Linked DNA regions of Nothobranchius furzeri. Each later gene encodes a partner of the first gene's protein in a complex. Links are inferred from orthologs where the notes say so. Each region holds a gene or a part of one and is shown on either strand. Other genes may lie near its edges. The genes, in order: cnot11, cnot6a and cnot6l.

Evidence for each region.
Region 2: cnot11 (region 1) and cnot6a share a complex: the UniProt entries of both Homo sapiens proteins name them as parts of the CCR4-NOT complex. The link is inferred for Nothobranchius furzeri from reciprocal best matches to the Homo sapiens genes CNOT11 and CNOT6.
Region 3: cnot11 (region 1) and cnot6l share a complex: the UniProt entries of both Homo sapiens proteins name them as parts of the CCR4-NOT complex. The link is inferred for Nothobranchius furzeri from reciprocal best matches to the Homo sapiens genes CNOT11 and CNOT6L.

Annotation. Positions count from the first base shown.
Region 1 is NC_091754.1:35,255,232-35,259,363, forward strand, and holds the start of cnot11 (CCR4-NOT transcription complex subunit 11), read left to right. Parts: upstream 1-1,189; 5' UTR 1,190-1,380; coding exon 1,381-1,699; intron 1,700-1,923; coding exon 1,924-2,088; intron 2,089-3,936; coding exon 3,937-4,089; intron 4,090-4,132. UniProt on the Homo sapiens protein: Component of the CCR4-NOT complex which is one of the major cellular mRNA deadenylases and is linked to various cellular processes including bulk mRNA degradation, miRNA-mediated repression, translational repression during translational initiation and general transcription regulation.
Region 2 is NC_091741.1:95,565,191-95,568,843, forward strand, and holds part of cnot6a (CCR4-NOT transcription complex subunit 6a), read right to left. Parts: intron 1,873-3,653; coding exon 1,715-1,872; intron 1-1,714. UniProt on the Homo sapiens protein: Poly(A) nuclease with 3'-5' RNase activity.
Region 3 is NC_091750.1:40,065,564-40,069,783, forward strand, and holds the start of cnot6l (CCR4-NOT transcription complex subunit 6-like), read left to right. Parts: upstream 1-1,402; 5' UTR 1,403-1,532; intron 1,533-2,526; 5' UTR 2,527-2,536; coding exon 2,537-2,648; intron 2,649-2,789; coding exon 2,790-2,976; intron 2,977-4,220. Other genes in the region: mrpl1 (large ribosomal subunit protein uL1m), read right to left, coding at 867-897. UniProt on the Homo sapiens protein: Has 3'-5' poly(A) exoribonuclease activity for synthetic poly(A) RNA substrate.

The DNA.
Region 1 (4,132 bases):
CACTGAGCCAAACTGTCTTTTTTGGACTTTAACAAAAACTACTGCCAGATGGCCGACATTGCTCCTTGCTAGCAAACACTTTTCTGATCACGTGGACTTTGCACGCTGGATCTGGACGCTGCTGGATAGAATTGCTGTAATGGAATTTAAAGCAGAACAGACTGCTTATATTGGAGATTTTTGATGCAGTCCGATATAATCTGATACGGTTTTTTTGGGCCGATATCCGATACCAATATCGGAAGGGGACATCCCTAGTTACAAGAACATAGCTACCCATCTGAGTGTGGTTTATAGGAAATAATCACAGCCTCCCTTCATTTCACTACCAGAATGATATAAAAATCACCTGCAACATTAATAAAAATTATTATTTTAGCCAACAGCTTGGAGCTTCATATTTTCTTTGGATTTAACTTCCTACGTTTGTTTTACTCATTTCCTCAAATGCATCGATTTTAATAACTATAATGTAAAAAGCATCATAGCTGTGCTTTTAAAACAAAGCCACAACTCTTTTGACTGAAGGACTTGCCTCCTCCTGCTGGTTCTGGGTCGCAGCTCTCCTTTTCTTGAAGGAAGCAGAAATGAAGCTCCCTGCTCAGTTCCACCACCGGCTGGTCAGGAAGGAAGTCCAAACAGTCCAGAGCTGCACAGAGCCACTTGTCATCCCAAAGAACGACAAATAAACACAAACATTTACAAGAAAATCTCATTAATCTGTAAAGTAAAGCAGCTGGGATCCATGCCGCCGCCACAGGTTCCAGTTCTCAAACCCACTGGGAGCTCCTGAAGGCCTGGAGGATCTGTCTGTCCAGGTGGTTGCTGCTGTAGATCAGGTCTGGGTTTCCATGAGCCACCAGGCTGGCTGTAGAAGGAGGAGGAGGAGGAGGTCTGGCTGCACTGGAGCACTCCTTCCAGCAGGGAGAGCTCTATAATGTTTAACAGCCGGAGAAGAGTCTGCTCGGTCAGACGAAGGAACACGTGGAAACTCCATTACCCACAGTGCACCTCGAGGTAAAGGTCACAAGAAATTTAAACGGGTAGTGCGGCACATTAAGAACCTACTTTTACAGCCATAACAGGCACTTATATTGCTTTTGGAGTTTATTTTGTCGCTAATTGCTTGTTCGTTAAGATTGTTTTGTTGTTAAATAGTCAATTATTGTTGAAAATAAGTCAGACCAAAAGCTGAGTCCTGGAAAACGCTAAGCTAAGCTAAGTGGAGGCTAACACAACTCCAGGATGCTAATATCGTTGACTTTCTGATTCACTTCACAACCATGGATTAGCACGTCTTGTCCCGGTATTTTTCCAACAATAACTAGTTTTAAAAACGGAGCAGAACTTCCCCGCAGCTGAACAGAACCGGAGGAGACGATGAGCCTAGCTCCGAAGGAACTGTCCAACCTGCTGAGCATCATCTCGGAGGAGGCCTGCTCCAACTCCTTCGAGACTCTTTCCACTCACTTCCATCATTACTTTGGCAAAGCAGAGCACTTCCGGGTGGGCTCGGTGCTAGTCATGCTTCTCCAGCAGCCGGACCTGCTGCCCAGCTCCCCGCAGCGGCTCACCGCCCTCTACCTGCTGTGGGAGATGTACCGGACGGAGCCCCTGGCCGCCAACCCGTTCGCTGCTGTCTTTGCCCACGTCCTGAACCCGGCTCCGGCAGGAGAGGAGCAGGAGAAGGCGCTGTCCGGTAGGACTAAATAATCCGGCATTAATGAAATCCATTCATTGCCATTGTATACTGGTAACACAAATATAAACACATCAAAGTCCATGATGGAGTCCCATACGTCTATGAGAGGAATGGCAGGAAATACAAGTTGCTAATACTGCTCCTGCACATTTACTGAAAATCTACGTATCTAAGGAGATGAATTCAGCCCCACCTGTTACCTGTGGTGATTTTGTGTTCAGGCTTCCTGCCGCCTATCACCCAGCCAGAGAAGTTCTTCCTGTCCCAGCTGATGTTGGCACCACCCAGAGACCTCTTCAAGAAAACACCCAGACAGGTGTCCTGCATGGACATCACCAACATGCCCCAGCCCATCGACATCAGTGGGCTGCAGCTCGCATTAGCAGGTCGGGGTGTGTGTGTGTGTGTGCCTGTCCTCTGCATCAGAGCTCTTGCCCCAGTGAGTAGACAGCTGCTCAGGGGAGAAAGCAGTGTGTGCATATGTGTGTGTGTGGCATAAGATTATGAGGACACACACAGAAAATTAATAAACTAATGTGGTTCAGAGTCTCCAAAAGCAACACAGCTCGTGCCCGCCTTTGTTTACCTTATTATGGAGGACACCGCGGACTTTCCCGCGCGTATTAATCACCGCCCACAGGCTCGGGGATTTCTGCGTTCCTGAGAAGTCGCTCGGATTTATACGTGAACACTACACCGCCCGTTCGAGACCAGACTCGCTCCATCCAGACCCACCTAACGGGTTGCCTACCCCCGGTTCAGGCTGAGGTTTAACTTATTTAAGCCTACTTAATACCAACTTGATATAAATATTTTGCAAATACTGACTAAGAGTTATACGGTGCACTTATAATCTAAAATAAATCGAAACATATGGTAAAAATATGGCCTGTATTTGATATAGTGCCTTCTAGAGTCCTGGGAGTCCAAGGCGCTTTACAACGCCATCAGTCATTCACCCATTCACACACTGGTGGGGATGAGCTACGACGTAGCCACAGCTGCCCTGGGGCGCACTGACAGAGGCGAGGCTGCCGAGCACTGGTGCCACGGTGCCTCCGACCACCACCAGCAGGCAAGGGGGGTTAAGTGTCTTGCCCAAGGACACAACGACAGCAACAAACTGAGCGGGGCTCGAACCTGCAACCTTCCAGTTATGGGGCAAGCACTTAACTCCTGTGCCACCGTCGCCCACATATGTTGCATAATGGTTATTTAGTCCCCTCCAGCGGTGCTGTGGGAGAGTGTACGGCAGCGGCGCGTCACTCAGAGATGATTTATTTTTTATCAGCCTGAGAAACTTATCTCTAAACTAATCAGTGACAGGTCCCATCAGTTAATGTAATAATTGTCCCAGGCATTTTGGGCATCCCTCTCCCTGCTTTCACAGTGATCGTGTGCTGCAGCACACACACACACACCATAGACATAAACATAGATGACACCTGGACAGTTTGCAGCACATGAACAGGATACAAACAAATGAAGTAGAAGAATTCAACACCAACAGCTGCAGGTGTTAATAATACAGTGTAAAACAATCACATATATGAGCTGTTTTGTTGGTAGAGTCTGTTGTTGTTTTTAGCACTTAGGTAGTTAAAGAATGAGTTGCAATGTAGTTTGTTCCAGTGGTGTTGCTGTGGTGTGATGTCATCAACAGGCGCAGGTCCCTGAGCGGATCTGATACCTACACCAGCATCAGAAAAGGAATTGCAAACAAGCAACTGTGGGCCAGAGCCGCTGAAATAAAACCAGGAGCTGGATGCGTTTCGAGTTGAGGCGCTGATCGAGCACAAAACACGTATAAAACATGTTACATGGAAGTAGAGCGGGTTGTCCAGTAATCAGAGGGTTGTCCCGGCTCACCGCCCGGGTAGCTGTAGCTACACTGTAGCTCATCACCATCAGTGTGTGAACGTGTGTGTGAATGACGCACTGTAGTGTAAAGCGCTTTGGAGTCCTCTGACTCATGGCACTAAATAAGTGTGGGTCATTTATCATCATTGTCCTGGTTCATCATGTCCGCTCTTTAAGCACCTCACCATTACGTCGTGTATAGTTCTGCTCCAAACAAGGAGCTAATGTTTAACACGTCATTTGTAAGTCAGGTGAGAACATTGGTTGATGGTGAGCGTGTTTACGTACGTTATTACACGCTCGTACCAGGATGGTCGTGTCGCTCTCACCTTCAGCCCCTGACCCGTTTCCATGTCTGCTCCTTGGTCTAACAGAGCGCCAGTCGGAGCTTCCCACTCAGAGTAAAGCCAGCTTCCCCAGCATCCTGAATGACCCAGACCCAGACTCCTCCAACTCAGGGTTCGACAGCTCCGTAGCCAATCAGATCATAGAGTCTCTGGTCACAGGACCGCGGCCTCCCCTGGAGAGTAAGTGGTCTTCATTTTCACTTTTATTTCTTCAGAACAGATT
Region 2 (3,653 bases), on another chromosome or scaffold:
TCACTACTCTGCGCTGGACCAATCAAGTGGCTGAAACAGAGCGAAACACAGAAAGCAGCAATTAGTAGCCGTTATAGTGGATGGTATGTTTCCACCAGCCGTGAAGAATCGCGTTTTGTAAGCATCACAGAAACATAGGGACACGCTGTTTGTGCATCGACTCTATTTTTTACACACTATTCTTTGAGAAGGCTTCAAACTCAGCAGTTCATACCAGGCCAGACTAGGGTTGTCACGGTGTGAAAATTTAACCTCACGGTTATTGTGACCAAAATTACCACGGTTTTCGGTATTATTGCGGTATTTTTTTTTAAACGTGCTACATTTTCACACAATTAAATAAAACCCTGTATGTCAGGAAATATTGTCCTCAGTTTGTGTCTAAATTTAGCCTAAAATGTGTTATTTTGTAATTATGTTGTTTATTTGTTTACATTTTTCCCCTTTAGTCTTGAAAATACCAATATTTGCCCATAACTTCTTATTTTATGTCTTTTTGATGTCATCATTTTAAAAATATTAGATCAGATGATACTCAGTACTCAAGTAGCCTTCTAATCAGATACTTTTTACCCTTACTTGAGTAATAAACCCTAGATCAGGAAAATATTGTCCTCGGTTTGTGTCCTTCCAGTGAGCTTTGCAGATTTGGGAAAATGTCATCAGGCAGTAATCGTTGTTAAATTCATAATTATTCTCGGAGAGAGACCAACTCTTATCTGCCCCTGGGAGCCCCGTAATGCATAGCATCATTTCAATATGGCGGTGTCCGCGACACGGTTTATATGCAGGTAGCGGCGGTGCGGCTGCTTTATATAGCGACTCGTTTCATTCTCCCTCAACCCAAATCCTCGGATCACACATTTTAGCTAAAACGCTAACGTTAGCTTGCCTTTCGTTGACTGTAGCGTTGTGGGTGATGGTCACGCAGATGTGTCATGAGATTTGAAGTGTTGCTGCCGGATAGCCGTCTTCTATCAACTGTCTCTCAGCATTCTTCAAATATCCAAAAGATGCCCATACTTCCGACTTTGTCTTCTTTGAGGGATAATAAATGTCCTGAGTGCTGCCGTCTCCTCCTTTGGCCATTATTTCAGCTTTAGCTTCAAGAAAGTTTTGGTTGTAAACAACAAAGTGCGCATGTCCCACGGGCAACTTCAGCAGATGATACGGTGGCTGGTAAGGGTCACCGCGCCTACACCGCAGCCACGGTAATCCACCGAGATAATATAGTTTTTTTTAAAACAAGACGGTTATCATTATTGTCAACTTTTTTTACAGGGGTTTACCGCTACACCGGTTACCGTGACAACCCTAGGCCAGACAGGAACTGAAACACAAAAATGGTGTAAAACATCTAATCCCCCCAGGAAACCCCCTCCTCACCAGTCAAAAATCCGAAACCCAAAGTGCTTTTACCAAAACAAAAGAACCAATCCTGATTCTTGGCAACGTAATGAAACTGATGGACCCCCCCCCCCCCCCCCCAAAAAAAAAGAAAAAGCACAAATAAAACAATATTGACCTTTGATCCCTGATCAAACTGAACATGATTACACTTTGATCAATCGTTCTACAATACAAGCAGCTGCAAAACAAGCCACAGTTTTGCCAACACACTGTCCATAAAACATTTATTTGACTAAAAATCACATTATGAACATCTTGTAATCCTAGTTACAAAGTCTTAATGAATTCTTGGATATTATCTTACCTGCAAACTGATGATGTCTGCGTTGCAGCCGAGGATTTCCTGCATGATGGACTTCTTCCTGTACTCCCAGTTTAGAGCCCAGGTCGGGCAGTAGCCATAGAGCTGCCTCGTGGCGTATTTATCACACAGCACGTTATAGCACATGACCGAGAAGAGAGCTAAGGAACACAGACAGGAAAAATTTCACTCGTTCACGTGTTTCTGAAGCTGACAGCAACCTTAAACACTCCCTTCTAAGGCGTTGTCTTGCTTTAGTTATTAAATCATAATCAGATGGGTTTTATTTGGTGAAATTACTAGTTCCACCCATCAGTAGCAGTGAGTTAACCAAAACACAGGAAAAAGACTTCGACTCATCATGAAACCCCATCGGTGCAGCGTCCTCATTTACCACGAGAGTTACAGAGATCACACTACGTCGCTGGTTTTAGAATGAAAACGGTTAAAACTACAAACAGTACAATATATATTTAAACCAAAATACTATATATTATCAAAAAATATTTGTAGTTTCAAAATATTTGTAGTAGGAGAAGGAGGTTATCATTTTTGGGGGAAATATTTCAAATTTAAGGAGTTACACACCGACATCTTTTCTATCTGCGTCTGGAAGAATCATTTAAGAGGGGCTGAAGGAATGTTTAAAGGTGCAATCTGTAAGAATGACATCTAGCGGACAAATGTGGGTACTGGGGTTCATTTTTTTGGCAAAAACATCACGTTCTCACTGCCGTTCTGTGAGTTTCATGGCTGTTGCCGTTTAATGACGAGCACCAGAAGATTCTAGATGACGAGCGAAGACGAGTCATACACAGAAAGTGGATAAGTTGATGAATACATTGTCATATCTGGTGTTAGCATTCCTGGGTGTTTTATGGCAGGGAGCACTTACTACACTTATTATGGTAGTTTGTTTCAGTTATTACAGGAAGTGTGGTTGTGTGCATTCTTGCTGTTAGCCTGCCGTTAAAAGTTCTGAGCAACTCATTAAAGGAAGAAAAACTCAATTACTCACTTCACACATACATTTCACTGTAACATCAAGTTATTGGTAATTGAAAAAGTAGCTTGAGATATTTTTGAGCTGACTATTTGCTCCTTATTCATCGTTAGCATTGTTAGCTCAATAATAAACTCTAGCCTGCTTTACTCAACATTAAGCCCCCTTCAGACAGGCCATGAAAAACGGAAATGTTCCGGAATCTGTCCGTAAGACCTTTCTGTCTGAATACAAACATCCGGATAATGTGTTCCGGAATTTATCCGGACGAAGCCCCTAGTAACAGGTCCGGACTTGTTACGGACAGGGTGGCTGATTCAGACTGGTGAGGTAAAGTTCCGGACAAGAGGGAGGGGGAGGAGGAGGGGACCGGGGGACGCTGTGCGCACCTAGATAGCCCGCTGCTGTAGCATGCGGCGATCAACGGCAGCTCGCCTCCTACGGTACCGTCTAGACGCGCGAGGGAGCGCTTCACACCGCTTCAGTGATTCCTTTAACCATTGAGCTTCATCATCCAGGTCTCTTATGCGTCTTCGTGTGCGCAGAATTATGCTTAAGCGCCTCGTGATTTTTATCTTGAGAGGCGCTGTAGAAATGATATTTTCTTCTTCTTCTTCTTCTTCTTCTTAACATGAGTCCGATCACCCCCCCACCACCACCACCCCCCGCCGCCGTCAGACATCTGGAACTTTTCCCTGCTGTGTGAACGCAGCCGAAAGGACAAGTTCCGGTACAAAAGTGGTGTGTCTGAAAACACAGTTCCGGTTAAAAACCGGATTGAATTGTCCGCAAATGTTCCAGAATGTCTGTCTGAAAAGGGCTTTAGAGTACAACTAAAGGATGCAGTAGCTTCTTAGGGGTCGCACTTGTTTACTGGCTTTATTCAGTTCTTTTAACAACTCTGGAGCACTGTGTTGAATTACAAATGCCTGGGATGCT
Region 3 (4,220 bases), on another chromosome or scaffold:
ATGCTGGGGAAGATGACCTCCCCCTTAAAAAGCCCCTCCCCGCCCCCACTGTGGAGACCATGGACAGCTCCTTTACAGGCATCCCAGATGTAGAACTGAACGCTACCGTAGGTCATTCATCCCCTCAGCAGCAAGTGTAGGATTCCCCAGTTTAACTGGTACTGGCATTATCCTGGTACACAACACCACCAATGCAATACTCAGTGTGTGTGTTCAATACCAGATGTACGCAGTACGTTCGTGTCTCTTACTGTACGCTGCATAGTTCTGGAAACACATGTTTCCTTTATTTGTTGTTTTTAGTGGTTGGAGGTTACAATAATAGCAGTGGCTCCCCAAAAGGGTGGCCAGGGCCACACCGGAGGAGTAGGGTTACAGGTAACAACTGGTTTGACCATTAACCCCGGTTAACCCACCGTAAACACGTGTCCAACACCACTAAAGGTGTAAAAAGCAGCGCGAGCCGCACGGACAGAGGGGGGTTCAACCATCAGGACTCCTGTGTTTCAGACAGACACGGGAGCCTAGGTGGGATATTTGCCAAAATGATGGTAGTTACATGTGACTGACGGACAGGTGGGTAAACACAGGAGAAGACGCTAGAAAAGTTAGACTTTTTCACCTTCCTGAAAACGATGTGAGCTAAAGTTAATTAGCATAACAGAGGGGCTCCAGTTTGCAACCACACGTTGATGGAAAACATGTTTCCGTAACCTCTGTGAGCGTTTAGGCTCAGGACACACTAACCGGAAACAGATAGCAGGGCAGCTAAAACGCTAATCTACAGAAAATAACCCAACCGGAAACAAAAAAATAACATTCATGAATTTACCGTTTTTCCTGGATGAGAAACTAATTTCACTGACCTTTCCAAGCTGCCCGCGAGCAGGTTGCCATGTCTGCTTCTGGTGGTCCGTTGTCCGTGTAAAAACAGCAGTTCGCTCAATGGTTCCGCACAAACACACATATTTATTTTTAAAAGGTCGGCTCTAACTTAACCAGTTTACATTACAGGAAACCGTTTAAAAACGTTTCTAAAATCTCATCTAATGTTAAAGATTCACTGATTTAAATGATCGAGTTCAGTATTTGTTTTAAGGTGTGATTAGAAGTAAATGTTGATGTTAAAATCGTGTAAAGTGGCAAAATGAATGAATTGCAAGCATAAGATAAACAAATAAAAATAATGCCGAATCTCTGGTTTTTGCATCGGGTTTTTGTCAAATAAAGTGACGTCAGCTACACGTCACAGATGACGAGTTTAACCAGCTAGCACGTGTCCTTCACATGTTTAGTATCAAACTTTAGCGTAATATGTGTCACTTATTAACAATTAATAAATGAGCATATTTGTAAAGTTTCGTTTGGGATTTATGCTAAGAAGCTAGTAGGCGCGTGCACGACCGCGCTCTGGACTGTCGGTAACGAGCGGAAGCCGCGTTTGTTGTTCTTCCTTCTGTTTCCGAGACGTTCAGGGTTGAACCCGCGCCTGCATGTCGCTGCCAGTTCCCTTCTACAGCCCCCGGATGAAGGTAAACACGTTTTGTATCTAGAGCCGGTTCGCCCGGGCGGCTCGGCGCTAAACCAGCTTAGAGCCCGACTCGGTCCTTGTCCGGTCGTGTCCCCCACCCTAAGCCCCTGGAGCCCGGGGAGCATGCGCCCAGCCGCCGCTGGCTGACTTACTCCAGCCCCGTGCTTCGGGAGCGCTGGTCGGTTACCGTGACCGGTCTTTGCTGCATAGGTAAATGTGTCGCTGACATCCGTGGAAGGTGTCGAATCGGAGCGCGTGTTTACCTTGGTGTCAGGTGTGCCAGCAGCTGGTGAGCGGGCCTGTCCTCTTGTCACTTTTGACACCACAGCTATGTTTGGACACTCGTCCCTCAGCTGCCTGAGCAGTTGTCACTGCTGCATACTTTCCAACACACACACACACACACACACACACACACACACACACACACACACACACACACACACACACACACACACACACACACACACACACACACGGCCCTCTTTCAGCTCCTGAGGCAACATGACCTGTTGGAGTTGTGATGGTGTCTGCAGACACTTGTGACCTGCTGCGCCTGAACCCACCTCACCCAAAGGCCCTGAACGTATTTGCTGTAACTCACCATTCTGAAGTAATCAGGCTGTAGATCCACAGGAACGTTTAAAGATGAGGTTCTACGACGATCATCCTACAAGTGCAGGAAGTCCTCTGGATGACTTTTCTTTATGTGGATAACTTCTGATTAAAACTGTAATCACTGATCAAATGTTCTGCTGGTTTGTTCTGGTTTCAGTGGTTTTGTTGCTCCTCAGCAGGTGAAACCTCCTGAGAAAAATGAGCAGTTTGCTTCCGTCATCATTAACTAAAAAACGCCTCGAGCTTTTTTTTAAACCTTTGAGTTTCTTATAAATTGTTCTTCTCTTGTTTTCCACATTTTTTTAGTGCTTGAAATAAAAGTTGGTGTTTTCTTTTACGATTGCCACGATAACTCGTGCTCCTGGTTTGTCCTGCAGATTAACAGGAATGCCAAAGGAGAAATATGACCCCCTAGATCCCCGCAGATGTTACACCATCATGTCAGCTGAGGAGGCGGCTGGTGGGAAGAAGTCTCACTGGGCTGAGCTGGAGATCTCTGGTCAGTCTGCATTTACTTCCAGTAAAACACACTCTGGACGTTATATCCAGAGAAAGTCTTGTCCATGTTTTCAGTGTCGGGGTCAGTTTGGCCCACTGTGTTCAGAAATGTTAGTAAAATGAAGCTCCGCCACCTACACAGGAAGGGTGCGGAGCCTGAGCAGCTCGTTATGGACCCTCACCCACCTGACGGCGCTCCACATCAACGACAACAACCTGACTCGTATCCCACCGGACATCGCCAAGCTGCCCAACCTGGTCTACCTGAACCTGTCATCCAATAAGCTCCGAAGTCTGCCCGCCGAACTGGGCAACATGGTTACTCTCAGGTGGGTGGAGTTCTGACCCCTGACCTTTAACTCAGCTGCAGTGTGGGTGGGGTCGTCCGTCGTGTCCGACAGTTTCAACCGAACTGATGCTAAAGCGGTCATTTAAAACCCTGAATCAGGTGATTAAACCAGTCAGACATGAACACAGGTCAAGGGTGAGAAAGGTGAGACCCTCCCACGTGTGCGTACACACACACACACACACACACACACACACGCACGCACACACACATACGCACACACACACCTGTCTGTAAGGACGGACGTGGGGGGTGCTGCAGTGTGTGTGTGTGTGTGTGTGTCTGTGCATACATACACATAGACACACACACATGCACACACACACACACACATGCACACACACACACACATGCACAGACATACATACACACACATACGCACACATGCACATGCACACACACACATGCACAGACACACATACACACACATACGCACGCACTCACACACACATGCACAGACATACATACACACACATACGCACACATGCACATGCACACATGCACAGACACACACACACACACACACCTGTCTGTAAGGACGGACGTGGGGAGTGCTGCAGTGTGTGTCTGTGTGTGTGTCTGTGTGTCTCTGCATACATACACATAGACACACACACATGCACACACACACACATGCACAGACATACATACACACACATACGCACACATGCACATACACACACACACATGCACAGACACACATACACACACATAGACACACATACGCACGCACGCACTCACACACACATGCACAGACACACATACACACACACACACGCACGCAAACACACACATACACACACACATGCACGCGCGTGCACACACACATGCACGCACACACCCTCCCCAGCCAGCTGAGGTGGCTCGGGCGCCTGGTCAGGACGCCTCCTGGTGAGGTTTTTCGGGCATGTGTATCTAGCGGTGGGATTTGATCAGTTTTTATCAATAACAACAACCTTGTCGATTCTGTCCATCGATCCAGTTCCTTATCAATTCCAGAGAAGTTCAGTAGGTGGGCAAGTGGCTCGGGAGAGGGCAGTGTGGGCCTCCCGACTCGGGCTGCTGCCCCGCGACCCGACTCCGTATGAGCGGATGAAAATGGTTTTAAATGAACAAGTTAAAAATGATGAATAACACGTCATAAACAGATGTTTGAAGTCTGGACTCAAGTTCTGCAAGAACTTCTAAATCAGCAAAACGACATTATAATTCATGTCCTGCGTG